Bombyx mori: one gene and its partner. The protein of the gene in region 2 purifies or fractionates together with the protein of the main gene of each other region. This does not show direct contact. Links are inferred from orthologs where the notes say so. Each region holds a gene or a part of one and is shown on either strand. Other genes may lie near its edges.

What was found.
Region 1: the proteins of rptor (region 2) and target of rapamycin complex subunit lst8 purify together in Homo sapiens (affinity purification with western blotting; 15 studies listed by BioGRID and IntAct, with this or other methods). This does not show direct contact. The link is inferred for Bombyx mori from reciprocal best matches to the Homo sapiens genes RPTOR and MLST8.

The regions. Positions count from the first base shown.
Region 1 is NC_085114.1:11,952,859-11,961,555, forward strand, and holds target of rapamycin complex subunit lst8, read right to left. Parts: upstream 4,790-8,697; 5' UTR 4,516-4,789; coding exon of another isoform or gene 4,384-4,515; 5' UTR 4,057-4,383; coding exon 3,874-4,056; intron 3,783-3,873; coding exon 3,633-3,782; intron 3,132-3,632; coding exon 3,070-3,131; intron 2,661-3,069; coding exon 2,507-2,660; intron 2,008-2,506; coding exon 1,817-2,007; intron 1,556-1,816; coding exon 1,213-1,555; 3' UTR 1,097-1,212; downstream 1-1,096. Other genes in the region: mobility group protein 1B, read right to left, coding at 7,898-7,966, 8,036-8,176, 8,256-8,405.
Region 2 is NC_085123.1:792,360-800,271, reverse strand, and holds part of rptor (regulatory-associated protein of TOR), read right to left. Parts: intron 5,730-7,912; coding exon 5,610-5,729; intron 4,863-5,609; coding exon 4,716-4,862; intron 4,317-4,715; coding exon 4,090-4,316; intron 2,743-4,089; coding exon 2,560-2,742; intron 2,210-2,559; coding exon 2,004-2,209; intron 1,741-2,003; coding exon 1,499-1,740; intron 1,309-1,498; coding exon 1,234-1,308; intron 993-1,233; coding exon 912-992; intron 814-911; coding exon 637-813; intron 1-636. UniProt on the Homo sapiens protein: Component of the mechanistic target of rapamycin complex 1 (mTORC1), an evolutionarily conserved central nutrient sensor that stimulates anabolic reactions and macromolecule biosynthesis to promote cellular biomass generation and growth.

The DNA of each region.
Region 1 (8,697 bases), on a different chromosome or scaffold from region 2:
TCATAGTTACTAAATAATTAAGTTTATTCATTAAATGTTACAAAGAACAAAACAATTTTACTTAGTTTGAACTGTCAAGCGATATTAATGCGCGTACGCTATCCTACCGCGCTTGTTTAAAATTTCGCGCTTTGACAATTATTATTATTATATTTTATAAATCGGTACTAAAAAAAAATGATAATTAATAATATTGAATTAAAGTATGTACATTAAGAATTATATCTAGTCGTCGCTGTATTAGCGAACAAAAATGTACTTATTAACATTCCTAATGCGAATATTCTTATTTGTATTTAATAGTTATTTAGTTTTATTACACTAAAAATTGACGTCTTTTATATAATTGAATCCTAATGTTTTAAAAAAAAGTATTTAAATTTGACGTACAAGTACCTAGTTATAATATTATTAGTTTTAGTTTTGCATTTATGGAGATCTGATACAATATACCATAGTATTATGTACGCTATAAATAGATATATTGATGTTTCATGGGAGCTTGTAAATGTTCCATGAAATATGTATTTGTTGAACGAAATACACACTTTAAAAATGAAGTTGACTTGGTCATATTTTATTTACTTTTACAATCCATCTATACTGTTTAAACGCTCAGATACTTCTGTGAAATTACCTTAAATGTTTCAGATTTATAATACGATTTTTGTATCACTTATCTCACTTGCGAATGAATGTCATTTGCGTCCATTCCAATTATTATTGTTAATGCAACAATCACCTAGCTGAACCCTTCAGGGCGAACCTCGAGTCACCAGCTATCCTTCCATCCCAAAAAGGCGATGTAATGAAAACGATAAAAGTAGCTTTACTTTAGTTCATTAACATACAATTACCATCGCTTTCTCGAAGTAATTACAAACACAATACAATAAACAATACAAATAATAATTCAAAAACTATTATTTATTTTCTGCCTGCTACATGCTACTTTGTTGGCCATGTGCATTGCTAGTGTTTAAGCACTATTTTTTGACAAATAATATAACCAGTAATAAAAATTATAAAATTAAAAATAGTGTTTATTTTTATAAAAATATACATTTACACTTTTTATGAAGAAAAAAACCATTAATGCTATGTAATCATTTATTCAATTAAAAATTAATTCAATTATTATATTATTTACAACTTTATTATTTATTTATTTAAACTTTATAATCATCCCAAATTATTTTAAACCATATCTATTCAAACAGGTTGATCTTTAAACGCGAGTGCTGTGATGGCTTTCTGATGACCGCAGTACTCCCGTTCAAGCGTGCCACGCTCAATGTTCCATAATCGAGCATAACTATCCGATGAACCTGTAAATAACAAAATAAAATTATCTGGTTTTTTTAAACTTTGAAAAAATTGACTGGGTTGCCAGGAAATTGAAAATGTCTTACCAGTGAATAAAAATCGAGAATCAAGCGTAAAGGCTGCGTCCCAGACCCATCGCTGCGTGTCGCGCCGTAGCTCTCGCAACAGCGCCCAGTCGCTCGTGCGCCAGATCTTGGCCGAGCAGTCGCCCGACGTCGTCACCAACATGCTATTATCACATTAGTCAGATATTAAACATTTTCTAAGTTACTATACTTATTGCCTTACTTATGCCTTGCTTTCTTGCTTGCCTTGCTTTACTTATGATAGAAGAGTATGGAAGGAGAAAACATGTTGCGCTGACCCCGGGTGACTGGGAGAAGGGCAGGATAATGATGATTGCCAAGATAAACTCATTTAATAAACACATGCAACATCTAATGTCTTAAAGTTGATTTTAACTGAAATGCTGTAACATCTCCAAACTCACGTTGAATCTGGGCTAAATTTACACCGTAAAGCATATTTAGAATGTGCAGTAATGTGTTTTTTGGGCACAGGGTGCGGTGGTTGTCCGCTCAACGACCACACGTAGCAGTTGCCCTTGTTATTAACAGCCGCCATCATCTTGCCGGCTGGATCAATAGCTATGTCCTGAATCGACGCCTCCGCTTCTGGTATCTAACAAAAATAAGGATAAATAGTATAATATTTATGTGTAACATGTAAATGAAATAAACATGGTTTATTTAAATTGAATTATGTGGTTGGACAGGCACTTGGCTAATGATTGATCAATTACTAGAGCTTATCAATAAAACATAAATGCTCAAAACTGATGATTGTTTCGTGGAAAAAAAAAGGTAGGATGGTGGTCCATACACAAGTGGGTTTATAATACATCCAACCATCAATCAACCTATTAAGGACAGCAGAAATATGTTATAATATACAGAAAATACTACTGGCCATTCTCTAGTAAATACCTCAGTAGCCTTTCTATATATCCATTATGAGCATATTGGTGATATCATGTTGGCATCAGCTTTTTATGCAGGAACACTACTGAATAGGATGCGGAGATAGAGTGTTCCTTTCACTTTTGTAGCTCACCACAACATACTGTATTATAGCTTCTCAGCTGATAGTGGATGTAAAAAAATATATATAGTAAAGTTACCAGTTGTTCATTTTGATCCGTTTTCAGATCCCATATATGTATAATGCCACTCTGGTCTCCAACCATTATCTGGGACTGATCAGGATGAAGCATTACTGCATTCACCGGAGCTTGAACTTGGAATATCTTTTGACACCTTGTACGTGGTGCAGCCCTACATGAGAAACATGCCGCTTTAAAATTTCTATACTAAGCTTTCTAGGTCCAGTCAGTAAATTGTGTTTTTAAACTCAATAAAAGTTAAAGTTTAATTTCAGAGATCAGCAGACAACCTCATGGTCTCCTAGTGTAAATAGTTATTAGCTTCTATGATCTAAATTTTGATTTTATTCCATAACCATTAGCATTACACTTGACAGCTTTAAAGCAGGAATCATATCTTCATACCACCAGTAAATATCAGTTGGTGAATCTTTTATAATAAGCACGAATATAACGAATGATATAAGGTGCTGCATTGTCATCTAGCATCAGAGAAACCTCCAAACATCATTTGGCCAAGGTTAGAAAACACAAATGATGTTACCTAATAACTGGTTGATATAATACATAGCGTCTTTAACCTGGGATCCCATATCCTGGCTGTGCAGTCCTCACCTCCTGTGTACATCCAAGTGCCATTTTTCTGCAAAGTTACAATTTAAAAAAAAAAAAAATTAATGACTTGTCTTATTGTAATAGATGTGTTCACAAATTAAATATCCAATCATAAATATACATAGTTTTTTTTTTTTCTAAAAGATAACAATCTTGAAAAGTTGTTTGAAAATGAATAACTGATTTTAACATCAGTTTTTGTTTAAAAACTGCATGTCGACACAATTTGTGTGTTTTTCAAATTGTTGCCCTAGAAATAATTATAATCTCAAAGATTTATAGTAATTCCTATGCCAGTGAGATCTCAAATATTTAAAGGACACTGAAGATCCAGTTTCAACTGAATGAGTTTTGAACTGAGAAAAGAAATATATTTTTTTTTCTATTCCTGGCAAATATTTAGAGACATATATTAAAGACACGTACTTCCTGTAGTTTACTGTCAGTGACACCTAGGTCACAAATAATCTACCTGAAGGTCATGTATATATTGTTTTCAACAAATTTTAATTGAATTTATGCATAATACCTGAAACCCAACTCGAGATACGTTTTTGGAGATGTCCTCAAAAGTTGTGACCGGGTCTGGATTGGCACTACTAAGATCATATAACCGTATATGCTGAAATCCAGCTGCTGCTACCATCGATGTTGGTGAGATCTCCAAGCTGTTCACTTGCTGAAAGGAAAACTCGTCATGCAATAAGCTTTAGCTGATTTTCATAATATAATCAGTTTGTAAAAATATCACGAAAGTTAATTTAAGTTACCTCACAAAAGATGACTGGCATGTTAATCTGAATTATATTTGTACAAAGTGGTCTGCTTGTATTAAATCTTAGCTCACAATTATCTGACACTGTCGTGACCAGTTTTAATCGTTTAGGTAATTCTCTTTTTTTGGACATTTTTGCAACTTTACAGGAGAGCCATTTAAAGTTTAAAATTCTCATAATAAAAAAAGTCCATCAGCTATTTGGATGCAGTAAGCTTAATTGATGTTCAATCAAAAACATTGAATTGGTGATAGTTAATACCAAATAAAATGGACCTTTAATTACAAAGATAAATGTCGCGTATTAATCGAAATATCGCTTAATTCAAATAGCCTTTCAGCCCTCGTTATTATTCAAAGCGAAATTTCCAAATCAATTTTTTATGAAAATTTAAAATAATCATGCAAATTTACGGAGCGATTTGAATGAGTTATCTGGAAATGAATTGAGTCATTTTGGTCATTTATAGAAGATCAATAACCGAAACATTAAAATATGAAGTACCGAATCTGGATGCTGCATTGTTCGTAAACAAACACCACTGTGTGCCTGCCATAGCTTGATAGTATGATCGTAGCCTCCTGTTACTAAAGCCACCTGCGATCCTCCAAGAGAAGCAGTGGTATCACCAGCCATTTTATGAAACTTATTGTTTAAGCAATTGGCATATTTATTTCTTAAAAGCACATTTTTTTATTTCCAACTGCCAGGTAATTTTGAAATTTCGGATTTTAATTTTTAATTTCGAACTTTCCGAGCAACATAAATCTTGTATGATGTGATATAATCTACGTTATACTTGAACCGAATTATCGGGGCGCTTTTAATATTACTGTAAATTCTAACTAATGCATCTCATAAAGTCAAAACATAACCAAAACAACACAGCACAGGTAATTCAAAGTTGAATGAAGTTAGCCACTCAAAAAAATTTTTTTTTCCTATTTTATACTTATTTTCTATTAATTCGTTTGTTCATCATTTGTTCATGATTGTTCACTGTTAATAATTGTTTGTTCTGCATTTATTTATTTAAAAAAAATATTTAAAAATATACCTACAAGTTAGCCCCTCTAATGCAATTTTTTATATTTTTTCATCCTTAATGACTCGTAAATATTCATTTTCGATTGTTCTTATATAAAACACGTTTGTCCTCTTTCGAAATTACTCGTTTTTTGTTTAATTTACTATTTTTATTAGTTGAATAAATGTATGCAAAATATGTGTACTGCGCATGCGTCAACTATAATGCCTAAACTTTCCACGCGGTTTTAATCGTAAAAAAAAAACAAATATAAATCCTGAAGGAGCAATTAATTGGTATACAGTTTAATTAAAAAAATTAAAAAATAAATAAATGAAATAATGTGCATTGGCGTTAAGTTAGACCAAATACATTTTTTCCATCCTCTTACCTATCGTATTAAAATGTTATTTTACTAATGTTAGGAATATAATTTCGACTGTGTAAAAAAGTTATTATAATGTATACCTATATTATCTCTTGAAAGATAAATAATGAACATATTTACTTATTTGTTTATATTACCTATGTGAACTCCCTATCTTTTTTATACCTTCATAACGATAAGTAGGAGGATGGAAAAAATGTATTTGGTCTAACTTAACGCCAATACACATTATTTCATTTATTTCTTTTTTAATTTTTTTAATTAAACTGTATACCAATTAATTGCTCCTTCAGGATTTATATTTGTTTTTTTTTCACGATTAAAACCGCGTAGAAAGTTTAGGCATTATAGTTGACGCATGCGCAGTACACATATTTTGCATACATTTATTCAACTAATAAAAATAGTAAATTAAACAAAAAACGAGTAATTTCGAAAGAGGACAAACGTGTTTTATATAAGAACAATCGAAAATGAATATTTACGAGTCATTAAGGATGAAAAAATATAAAAAATTGCATTAGAGGGGCTAACTGGTAGGTATATTTTTAAATATTTTTTTTTAAATAAATAAATGCAGAACAAACAATTATTAACAGTGAACAATCATGAACAAATGAATTAATAGAAAATAAGTATAAAATAGGAAAAAAAAATTTTTTGAGGGGCTAACTTCATTCACCTGACTTGAATCACATTTTCTTTGGATGCCTCCTACGTGACTGTTCCTCATTCATAAATTCCCTGATAAACCTCCGAGTTCCTCTTCCCACATCAATCCCTACATTATTAATAATATTAAAATGTAAACAGTTTTAAAATATAATATTCTTTTTATTTATACCCAATCACTATATATTATGAACTCTTAGGCATTATTATATATTATTATCCTATTACGTACATATCCTTTCCAAATTTCGAACCTTCCAATTGATTCCTAAATAAAACTGGTTTCCCTACCTTTTCCACACTAGTAGTGGCAAATGCACAAACCGTGCGAGTCAAAATATAAAAAAAATAAAAAATACATGCTTCCATCTTGAGGTTTTTTCTTGTTAATCTTTCGTATTTTAATAAGAAACAACATCTTGGTACCTAGATTATGAAACTAAAACATATCAAGAAATTATTTTCATGTTAATCCAACCTTAAAAATTGATAATCAAGGAATTGCATACCTATCAAGTTTCTGATATAGGTACAAGCCCAGACCCAAAATCTTGAGACAAGTACTGCATCAGATCAAATATTAGGTATCAAATTGAAATACAGAACTAGGTACCTATCTAATGGATGCAGTCTTACATGGTCAGTTTGACTAGTCATAATATTAATTCTCAATAGTATGAGTATTCTAAGATGGGATCAATCACGAACTAGATTTAAGTAATTAATGTAGGTACCCACCTACATTTTATACCCTCAAGACTTCTAGTAAAGTCTATGTTCAGTTCCATCCCTAAAGTACGATAACAGTTCTTTTAACTTGGTCGAAAATATTTATACCTGCTACGAAAATTAGTGTCTATATATGACCAATGACCTATTACTGAAACTGCAAATCCAATCAGCCAGGTTGCTCAGTTACTAACCTATGTATGAACTGAAATTAAAACACTAATTATAAGAAATTACTTTATTGAACATGTAAAATCCGTATTGACATGAGGAATGCTAATTCTCATTTACAATATAACACAAATGTAAAATTTGAGAGACAAATCACATCGACAACCTACCTATAACTAACTAAAATACAACATACACATGAATTTCTTAAGATTATTTTTATGGTAATGCCACAAATCTATGCTAGAATTCACCTGAAAGGCGAGTCTCAAGATTAAAATGACACTTATGTGGTATAGTTTTATAATATGCATAAGTCCTAAATAAAGCCACGAGGTAACCTCGACAAATGCTTAAGCTTATTGTTTGGTACCATTATTAGCAATGAATTTACAATGAAGAGGTAGGTTTGAACAAGCGGGTGCAATATCCTTCCAAGGAGTAGACATTATAATAAGTCTCTAATTTTACATATTGATAGTTACACCAAAACTTATGTCCAATAGTTCAGCATTAAAATAAAACTGAATCGATATAAAATAATTCATAAAAAGCACAGCTTTAATTAGATATTGGTGCAGACATAGAAGTTTTGATAAAACCAGTCAAAAGTATATCTCAAAATAAGCATCCACAAAGTCACAGCGAACTTAACGAGGGAGGGCTAACTGTACAATTCCCTGGTGAAATACATGCTAACACTTACACATTATTTTTTTGAGGCTTAGAAACCTAGACCCTAGTGTGCGGCAAAACTTTCCAAACTCTGCATCTTATTTTATATCTATCATAACTAACACTACAATATCAAGAAAATTAAAGGAATATTGAATCAAGAAATGAATTATTTAATTGCATTTTATAAACAAAATACCAGTTGCAGTTAAAGATGATTCCAACTCTCATTAAATGTTAATCAAAATCAATGTCAAATGCATTTCATACAGACTTTGGAAAGTCAGTCCCGTTTTACTTTGTAATAAATTAAGTCCTTATTCAATATGAACAGTAATGTCTTAAGGTTTGGGAGATCATTCACTTTCTTCTTCCTCCTCCTCACCTTCCTCTTCCTCAGACTCTTCCTTCTTTTTCTTGGATTTCTGCAATAAAATAATTGTTGTTTAAAGATTCAACAAATGCTTTTAATATTGAAGAATTTGTTTACTCACAGCAGCAGCAGTTTTCTTGCCCTTTTTCCCTCGTTTTTGAGCCTTCTTTTCGCCCCCTTCGCCACCACCGCCATTGGCATTGTAAGATTCTAGGTCTTTTGCATATTGCTCCTTGGCCTTGGCAGCTTTCTGTTCCCATTCCTAAAGTAATTTCAATTATGAATCTCTATTGTAACGCGCTAGATAATAAATCACATTTTATTTCAATCATTGTACTTACAGTTTTGTCTTTCATTGATTTCCAAATTTCACCGCCTTTTTTGGCTATTTCGGTTACTCTTAAGCCAGGATTTTCAGATTTTATCTGTTCCCTCGCGCTGTTTAACCACAGCATGTATGCGGACATAGGACGCTTCGGCTTGTCCGTCATTTTGACTTTTTTCCTGGAAGAAATACCATGCTCTCTAAAAAATACTTCGCTTCCCACAAGGCAGCAGGTTCAAAGAGTCACGTTTTACGAACTTCAAGCTCTAGACGGTCTACGCACTGCTTATACGGTGTAACAGGGCGTCATTTTGGCGGGAAACGTATTTAGGCCATTTAGGACCAAGATTGTAACAGTAGCCATAAATAATATTTAATCAATATGAAAACCTACGAATTAGACTAACATATTCGTATCCATAACAGCATAAAACATCTAAAATAGTTATCGCCCCATT
Region 2 (7,912 bases):
TCACATCAACTATTCTTTTTTTTTATTGCTTAAATGGGTGGACGAACTCACAGCCCAGCTGGTTGTTAAGTGGTTACTGGAGCCTATAGACATCTACAACGTAAATGCGCCACCCACCTTGAGATATGAGTTCTAAGGTTTCAAGTATAGTTACAATGGCTGCTCCACCCTTCAAACCGAAACGCATTACTGCTTCACAACAGAAATAGGCAGGGCGGTGGTACTTACTACCACCAGTAAATAAAACCAGTAATTACCACCAATAAAGTTCTTTTAAAACTTAATAAAGCCCCTTAATAAAACTTAATAAAAAAATAAAAATAAACTAATAGAAGGTAAAGAGAAATCGCTTACAGAGTCGAAAATGTTGCTGACAAACGAGCACGACTTGTAAAGCGTACAAAAGCACGTCGCGAGTTAGTACGCTTTACATTACAGGCCGACGAATATGAATATAAGCAAGCAATACTAGGACCCCGTCACAGTAGCACTGAAACTATTCATGTGATGTTTATAAGCCTTGTCAACCTTGTTCGTCACGTGGGCCGTGGGCTCGTCTACCCGGGCACACAATAGTGTAGGAGCATGGACAGCTGCTCCGTGACGGCCCCCTCGAGGGGGGTAACGTATCAGTACCTCAGGCTCAGAATGCTCAAGGAGCGGGAACAGTTTCTCGTGCGCGAGATCTCTGACTCCCGTCCATCGCGCCGCCTCGAACCCGCGCCACAGCCGGCCCAGGCTGATGCAGATCCACTGGGCCAGTACCGGCTCCCTGTCGCCGAGCTGCTCGAGGCATATCGATATCATTGAGCCCTGCCAATCGAAATTTTCATTTAGTTTCATTTCTTACGTACGTCTTGCAGCAGCTGACCGTAGATACACAACACATGCGATGCGGTCCGAGGGCTCACCTGCAGCGCGGCCTCCTGCCCCGCCGGGTAGCCGTCCACGATGCCAGCCAGCACGTAGGCGGCCAGGGTGCGGTGCTCGCTCTGCAGAAACGGAACTATTTCAATGGAAGATGATCCTGATTGAATGCTACGTGCATGGCCCTAGTGTCGCAGGCTATAAGATTGAAACAATTGGAAAGTGTAGTCCACGGGCTCTGATAGACAATCAATCCCATATGAACTATAAGCTCGTCTATCAATTTAGTGTATAGTGTACTTTTCAATCCCATTGTCTTGCGTACCCTCCCCCCCGCGCGGCGTGCACCTTGCTGCGGGTACTTACGTCGACTGTAGGGTCTTGCAGTACGGACAGGAAGTACGTGTGCCCTTTAGCGTTGACTAGGTCCGCTTGACAGCTCTGAAACAATTAATGATTAATTAAGTACAATTAAGAAATACCATTTCGTTTCGTTCTGCACTCAAAATATGTGTAAAAGCATTAATACCGTTTAATTTGCATTTACACTATTTGATTCGCTGAAATTGCCAGCACTTGTTTTTTTGGCCGAGGGAATATAAAATGAACGAAATGTATAAGTAATACAAACCGGATCGACCGCGATGATCCTGGCCCAGATGTAGACCATGGAGGCGCGCAGCACCGGCGCGGAGGCCTGCAGCAGCTTGAGCATGTAGGGGAATATCCCGACGGCCAGCATGGCGCGCACCGCCCACGCGCCCAGCGCCAGGAACCGGCACAGCAGCTGCAGCGCGCGCACCCGGTGCAGCGTGCTCAGCAGCACCTGCAGCACCATCGGCAGCTGCTCCGGCACGCCGCGCCCGCCGCACCCTGCAGCGCACTCTCCCTCACTCTCTCTCTCGCTCCCTCTCCCTCCCTCCCCTAAACTACACTATACCAGTCATAGACAACGGCCTGGCTATTGCTGACCATGAGCACCGGTAACCACTCACCATCAAGTGAGCCGTATTATACTCGCTTGCGGTATTATTTTGGGATTGTTTACAGGCCCCGCAGGCCGGCCCGCCCCCGCGAGCTGCTGTCCATGCGCTACCAAGTGCTGCCGGTTACCACGGTTTCTAGTAAGCACTCACATTTACCGAGATCTAGCCAGACTTGGAAGGCGGTGAGCTGATCCCTGAAGAACGGCGAGTGGGAGTAATCCAGCGGATGTGGAGCCGAAGATAACGTGACCAGCTGGGCCAGCGCCGAGTCCAGGGTCTGCTCCCACGCCGCCCACAGCGGGTGCGCGGCCAGTGACGGCAGCGCCGGACTGCTCACGGGGGTGCAGTTGTATGATCTAGGAGTATGCAAGTAAGGGTGGATTTTCCAAAACATTATATTAATAGGAATGTAAAATATGTATTTATTATTTTCTATATTGCATTTTGGGCGCAGCAACAAATAGTTAAATGAAGAATGTTGTTTGTTACAAAGTGTCAATGACATGCAAAGGACAATACCCAAAAATGTCAAATGTCCTTTATTCTCAATAATATAACAATATAAAATAACAAAAAAAATATTAATCTACTACTGTAATTAAAAGTTCAGAAGTTTTATACAGCCTCGCAGAGTTCTTAGTTCTGATCGGTTACGAGACATCACAATGCTATCGTGGTGGGCCCCACCAGCTGTAAAAGCACCAACCTCATAATCCTGTCGGCGAGTAAGAAGTTCCTGCAGAGGCTGGCCGTCAGCAAGTCGGCCCTGAACAGCTGCTGGAAGAGGTCGGCGGGCAGCGAGCTCCAGGCGATGGTGTCGGTGATGGCCGTGAAGATCCAGTTCAGTTCGCCCAGCATGGTGCGGCGGTCCGTCACTTGGCCAGGGATCCTGGACAACAAATTCAATGTACTTTAAAAACTAATTACACACGCTTTCATATGAAAAACTGAATACAAATTTAAGTAATAATTTTTTAGTTCAGTGCTCCTGGTCAGCATATCCCGATATCAAAGTAACAAGACTGTAGTCTCGTTATCTCCCCTTGGTGCGCGCGTAACTATCCAAGCTGATCTGAGGTCGTGGAGCCGGGTCGTTGCATTGAGGTTTCATCACATATATGAGTCGTCTATTATCAAAGGTGGCAATCTGTGCATTTGGACAAAAAAATGTTATTGATATGTCAATACAGATTGATTTGAATACAATCGTCTCCTTCAAAGAATACGGTTCAAAACCTGCATTAAATAAAGGTTAATACTTAACCTGTTATTTATCTAAGATGTCGTTCAGAAGAGTTTTGTGACTGCCAATGGAATACAAAGTCAATAATTCGTTTTTCTGATTTACCAATAATTGTCCAAAAGTCACATTGCCGGCTTTGATAATAGTCGACTCACATACATGTCGAAGACTGTCATTAGTTTGGTAGCTAAACGAAACGCAGTACGATTCCCGAGAGATGGCAGCACGATCGCGATGGAGGCGCGTATAGACATCATTGACACCTACCAACCAGCCTTCTTGAAGAGCGATGCCTCCATTCTAAGAACTGGCATTCGTTTTCGTTTGCTGACGTCAAGAGAAGATTTCTAAATTGTTCTAAGACAACAAACGTGTTTTATGTACTCAATATTTCTTTTAGCTCGATCACCCTATTCGCCCCTACGATGTCTGACGATGGTGTTAATAATGCGGTTTCTCCGACATACATATCGATACAGGTCAAGCTGATAAAAATCTGTTGTCAATAACCGACTGCACAGTAGGGATGGCGATTCGAGATCGATTAATCGAAGGATCGATTTCTCGAACCAAAAAAAATATCGATTTTTAAATCGATATGTAGTTCTGACTCGATTCAGTGAATCGATATTTTACCCTTGATATTTCACCCAACTGCACAGACTTCTGTAACTATTCGAACACAATTACTCACGCAAGACTACTCATGGCTAGAAGCGTACATGGCCTAATAGATAAGACGCCCAGTGTACTTGTAGCCTGCAAACATGTCATTGATCAACCCTGTTTGCCTTAGGCCAATACAAATTTTTCTTAAAGTTATTCATCATTTTTATATAGTAAAAATATATTATACTGTGATAATTACACCATAAAATGAATCTCTTGTTCGATTTTTACATGACTTGAATACTACAGTGGAACTGCGAATGTCCACAGGCAACTGTTATCACCGAGCACCACCACAACACGAGATTAAGAGACGATACTGACTTATCGATGAGGTCGTGCAGGTCCCTGTCGGCGTATCTGGTCCGGGTCCTCAGCACGAACCACTTCATGGCAGTCTTGACCGGCGTGGTGAGGCAGGCCGTGAACAGGTCCGCGGGCAGCTCCGGGTTCATGGGCAGGCTCTGTCCGGCGGCGCAGGCGGCCAGCTGGATGCAGTTCTTGTACGAGACCTGAGGGATGCTCGAAGTGCCTTCTTCATTCTTCTGAGCCTGTCCACAAATGATGAATTAAAACTGTGTATCTCAACTTTTTCACCTACAATGTTGTCACCCTATGAAGCGTTCACATGAACCCTACATAGTACTGATAAAACAGATTACCATATTATTGTTTCTGTAGCAAATGCTCTAGTTTTACTTAGTATGAATATCGAAGGGTGACGGGTTATAGAGATATTTAAACGAAGTTTTTGCAACCTTAAGAAGAGTCACTTAAAGTTTAAAATTTGGAAAAAAAATCCTAATTAAACTTAATTCAAGGTCAATTAAAAACATCGAACTGTTGATGCTATTACTAAATAAAACACACTTTTAATTACAAAGATAAACATCGTTCAAACGAATTAGCCTTTCACCCCCTTGGTTTAACAAATATCATATAGCAGATACCTCGTACTCCCTCTCGTGTTGATCAGCAAACAACTTGAAGCTGTCGACAATGATGCCGGCGTTGGAGCAGTCGTACACGTAGAGCGAGGGCGCGCCCATCCACGTCTGCAGGTCGTACATCGACAGCGGGATGTACTGGGTGTAAGTCTGGGGACAAATACCTTAGTTTTATTTTTTAGTTTGGTTTTTATTAATTTGTGACATCTAAAGATGTCGGCGCAACGTCACTATTTAGTAACTAATATTAGTTAAAGTTAACTGGTTCCGCTGGATGGCGTGAGCATTAAAATAGGTACGTTGAGATTTTCATCTGAAACTTCAAGATGAGTGGCATCTTTCTACTTACGTGTACTGTCTCATCTGTTATCTGCACAAGTTTGCCTAGTTCTGAACTTTTTATTTATTGCTTATATGGGTGGACGAGCTCACGGCCCACCTGGTGTTAAGTGGTTACAGGAGCCAATAGATATCTACAATGTCATCAAATGCCACCACTCACCTTGCGATATGAATTCTAAAGTCTCCGAAACGCATTACTGCTTCATGGCAGAAACAGGCGGGGTGGTTGTACCTACCTGTGCGGACTCACAAGACTTTCTACCACCAGTAACATTGAGCGGTTTCTTTTATTTTGTATATCAAATCTAATGAAACCATGCATTTTTCAAATGCGTACTTAAAAATTTTCAAGTGTGTATCGTATTGTGATCGCCATTTTTTCATTATTAAAAACTAAGTTTTTTTTTATTGCCCTTGCAGGTAGACGAGCATACGGCCCACCTGAAGGTGAGTGGTTACCGTCGCCCATGGATTTCAGCAATGCCAGGGGCAGAGCCAAGCCGCTGCCTACAAAATTAAAGCCGCTGTCTAAATTGATTACAATTAAAAACTCACCCTATTAAAGACCCAGATCTCTCCCTGCGCCGTCGGCTTGGGTACGCCGTGTCCGTTGTAATGAAAAAGCACGCGTTCATCTTTCGCGTTACGTCGCAGAGAGCAGCACAACTTTTTTACCTGTAAAACCAAACAATGAGTTACTTTTTGTACGACTTACGACCACCTTACAACCGATAGACGTAAATGAAGATGAAAAAAAAGGTTCGTATTCAATTTTATAAATTAATCCGGATAATCGTATATTGAATAAAGGCTTTTTTTCTTACATATGCTACTAGCCTCGAAGAATTATACTAGCTTCACCAAACGTGTAGGTAAGCTCACGGGACTCAGCCTGGCGAATTTGCTAACACTAACCCTAACAAGGGAAGTGCTTCGCTGAATCTATCACTGGATCGGAATCGCGACCTACTAAGAAGATCCGCCGAGAAACTCATTGAACTGACCTACTAAGAAGATCCGCCGAGAAACTCATTGAACTGACTTACTAAGAAGATCCGCCGAGAAACTCATTGAACTATGTCTGCGGGTTAGTTCGAACTCTTCGTATGACGAGAACAGTAGCCAGTGCTTGTTGGGCCTAAAAGAGCCGAGAGTGGATCCGGGAGATCAGACGTTATATTTTAATTTAAAGCTTATGCTTATACAGTTTCGACAAGCTCGCCGGGCGCGGCGTCTGCTATCATAATTATTATTGAGCGATGGCAGCACATCCGAAACTTCTCTTAGAAGGCGCTTGCACTCTTAATCTTGGAAACACAGTTACTGGATTGACAAGCAAGTTTTTTTGGGTAAAATTAACTTAAAATATACATTAATCTATTTACAATTATAATTTTTATGACGACATTTTTTTTCAGCGACACTGGGTTTTTGAGATTGATAAATCGAGAATTTTTCTGCGTAATACCCTCTTAACCGGACTTGACAACCCTAACGACCTGTACTGCATCCAAGTCGAGCGATTACTGTGTCCCCGATGATCTAAATCATCACTGCGAAAATGTGTACAGTGTGTTTAGGGCGAGTTTTTTAACTTCTCGCAGCAAACGAAGGGAAGACGTTCCAACTCCATACAAATTTGAGTTAACTTTTGCGCGATCGAAAAGTTAAAAAACTCGCACTAAACACACTTATCGATAGTTGTCCCTGACCAATAAAACTATTAATAAAAAGGTTGGAATTAAATTATAAAGTTGTTAAAATAGTTTTTTTTTGTGACGAATAAATTCCTAGTTTTGCGGCATTAAAAATATATGAAAAAACACGCGATCGGTGCAAAATCTTATTTTTATTGGAGGTGTATGATCATAGCAACGTGTCATTTCATATAATACCTACGAAACGCGCATAAATAAAGTCTGTATAAACAGAAGGTGACATCGGAAAGACCGAAATAAAACGCCGGTCACGGTGTGAATCATACGTTGATTCACAAAAACACGAAGAGCGCAATTAGAATCAATGAATTTTTTTTGCATTTGTACTGATATTAAGTCCAAAAAACTACGGTAATGACAGAGAAGACGTAAACGTAAATAGAGCACCTGCTGTGTTGCAAAACGTACACGTGTGACCTCTTGTCACACCTCTTGTGGGTCCGCACGGGTAGGTACCACCGCCTTGCCTATTTCTGCCGTGAAGCATTAATGCGTTTCGGTTTGAGGGTGGGACAGCCGTTGTAACTATATTGAGACCTTAGAACTTATATCTCAAGGTGGGTGGCGCATTTACGTTGTAGATGTCTATGGGCTCCAGTAACCACTTAACACCAGGTGGGCTGTGAGCTCGTCCTTAGATGGGTATCTAAGGAATAAAAAAATAAAAATAAACCCTGAAAAAGACCAAACACGCGTTTATTTTACGATTTCCGAGACAAAAGTGTCTAAAATTATTTACGAACTGGTCTAATTAAAATCGCATTTCATTTTTGATGTTTTCAATCTTAAAACACCAGTATAATATATTTTTAAATTATGTTGTTATAACTGAAAATTTCAAGTATATTAGCGCTTTAGTTTTTTTTTATTGGATTTTTTTTTATTGCTTTGCTGGGTGGACGATCTCACAGCCCACCTGATGTTAAGTGGTTACTGGAGCCCAAAGACATCTACAAAGTAAATGTGCCACCAACCATGAGATATAAGTTTTAAAATCTCAGTATAATTACAACGGCTGCCCCACCCTCAAACCGAAACGCATTACTGCTTCACGGCAGATATAGGCAAGGTGGTGGTACCTACCCGCGCGGATTCACAAGTGATCCTACCACCAGTAAGAGATCGATTAATATTGACCAT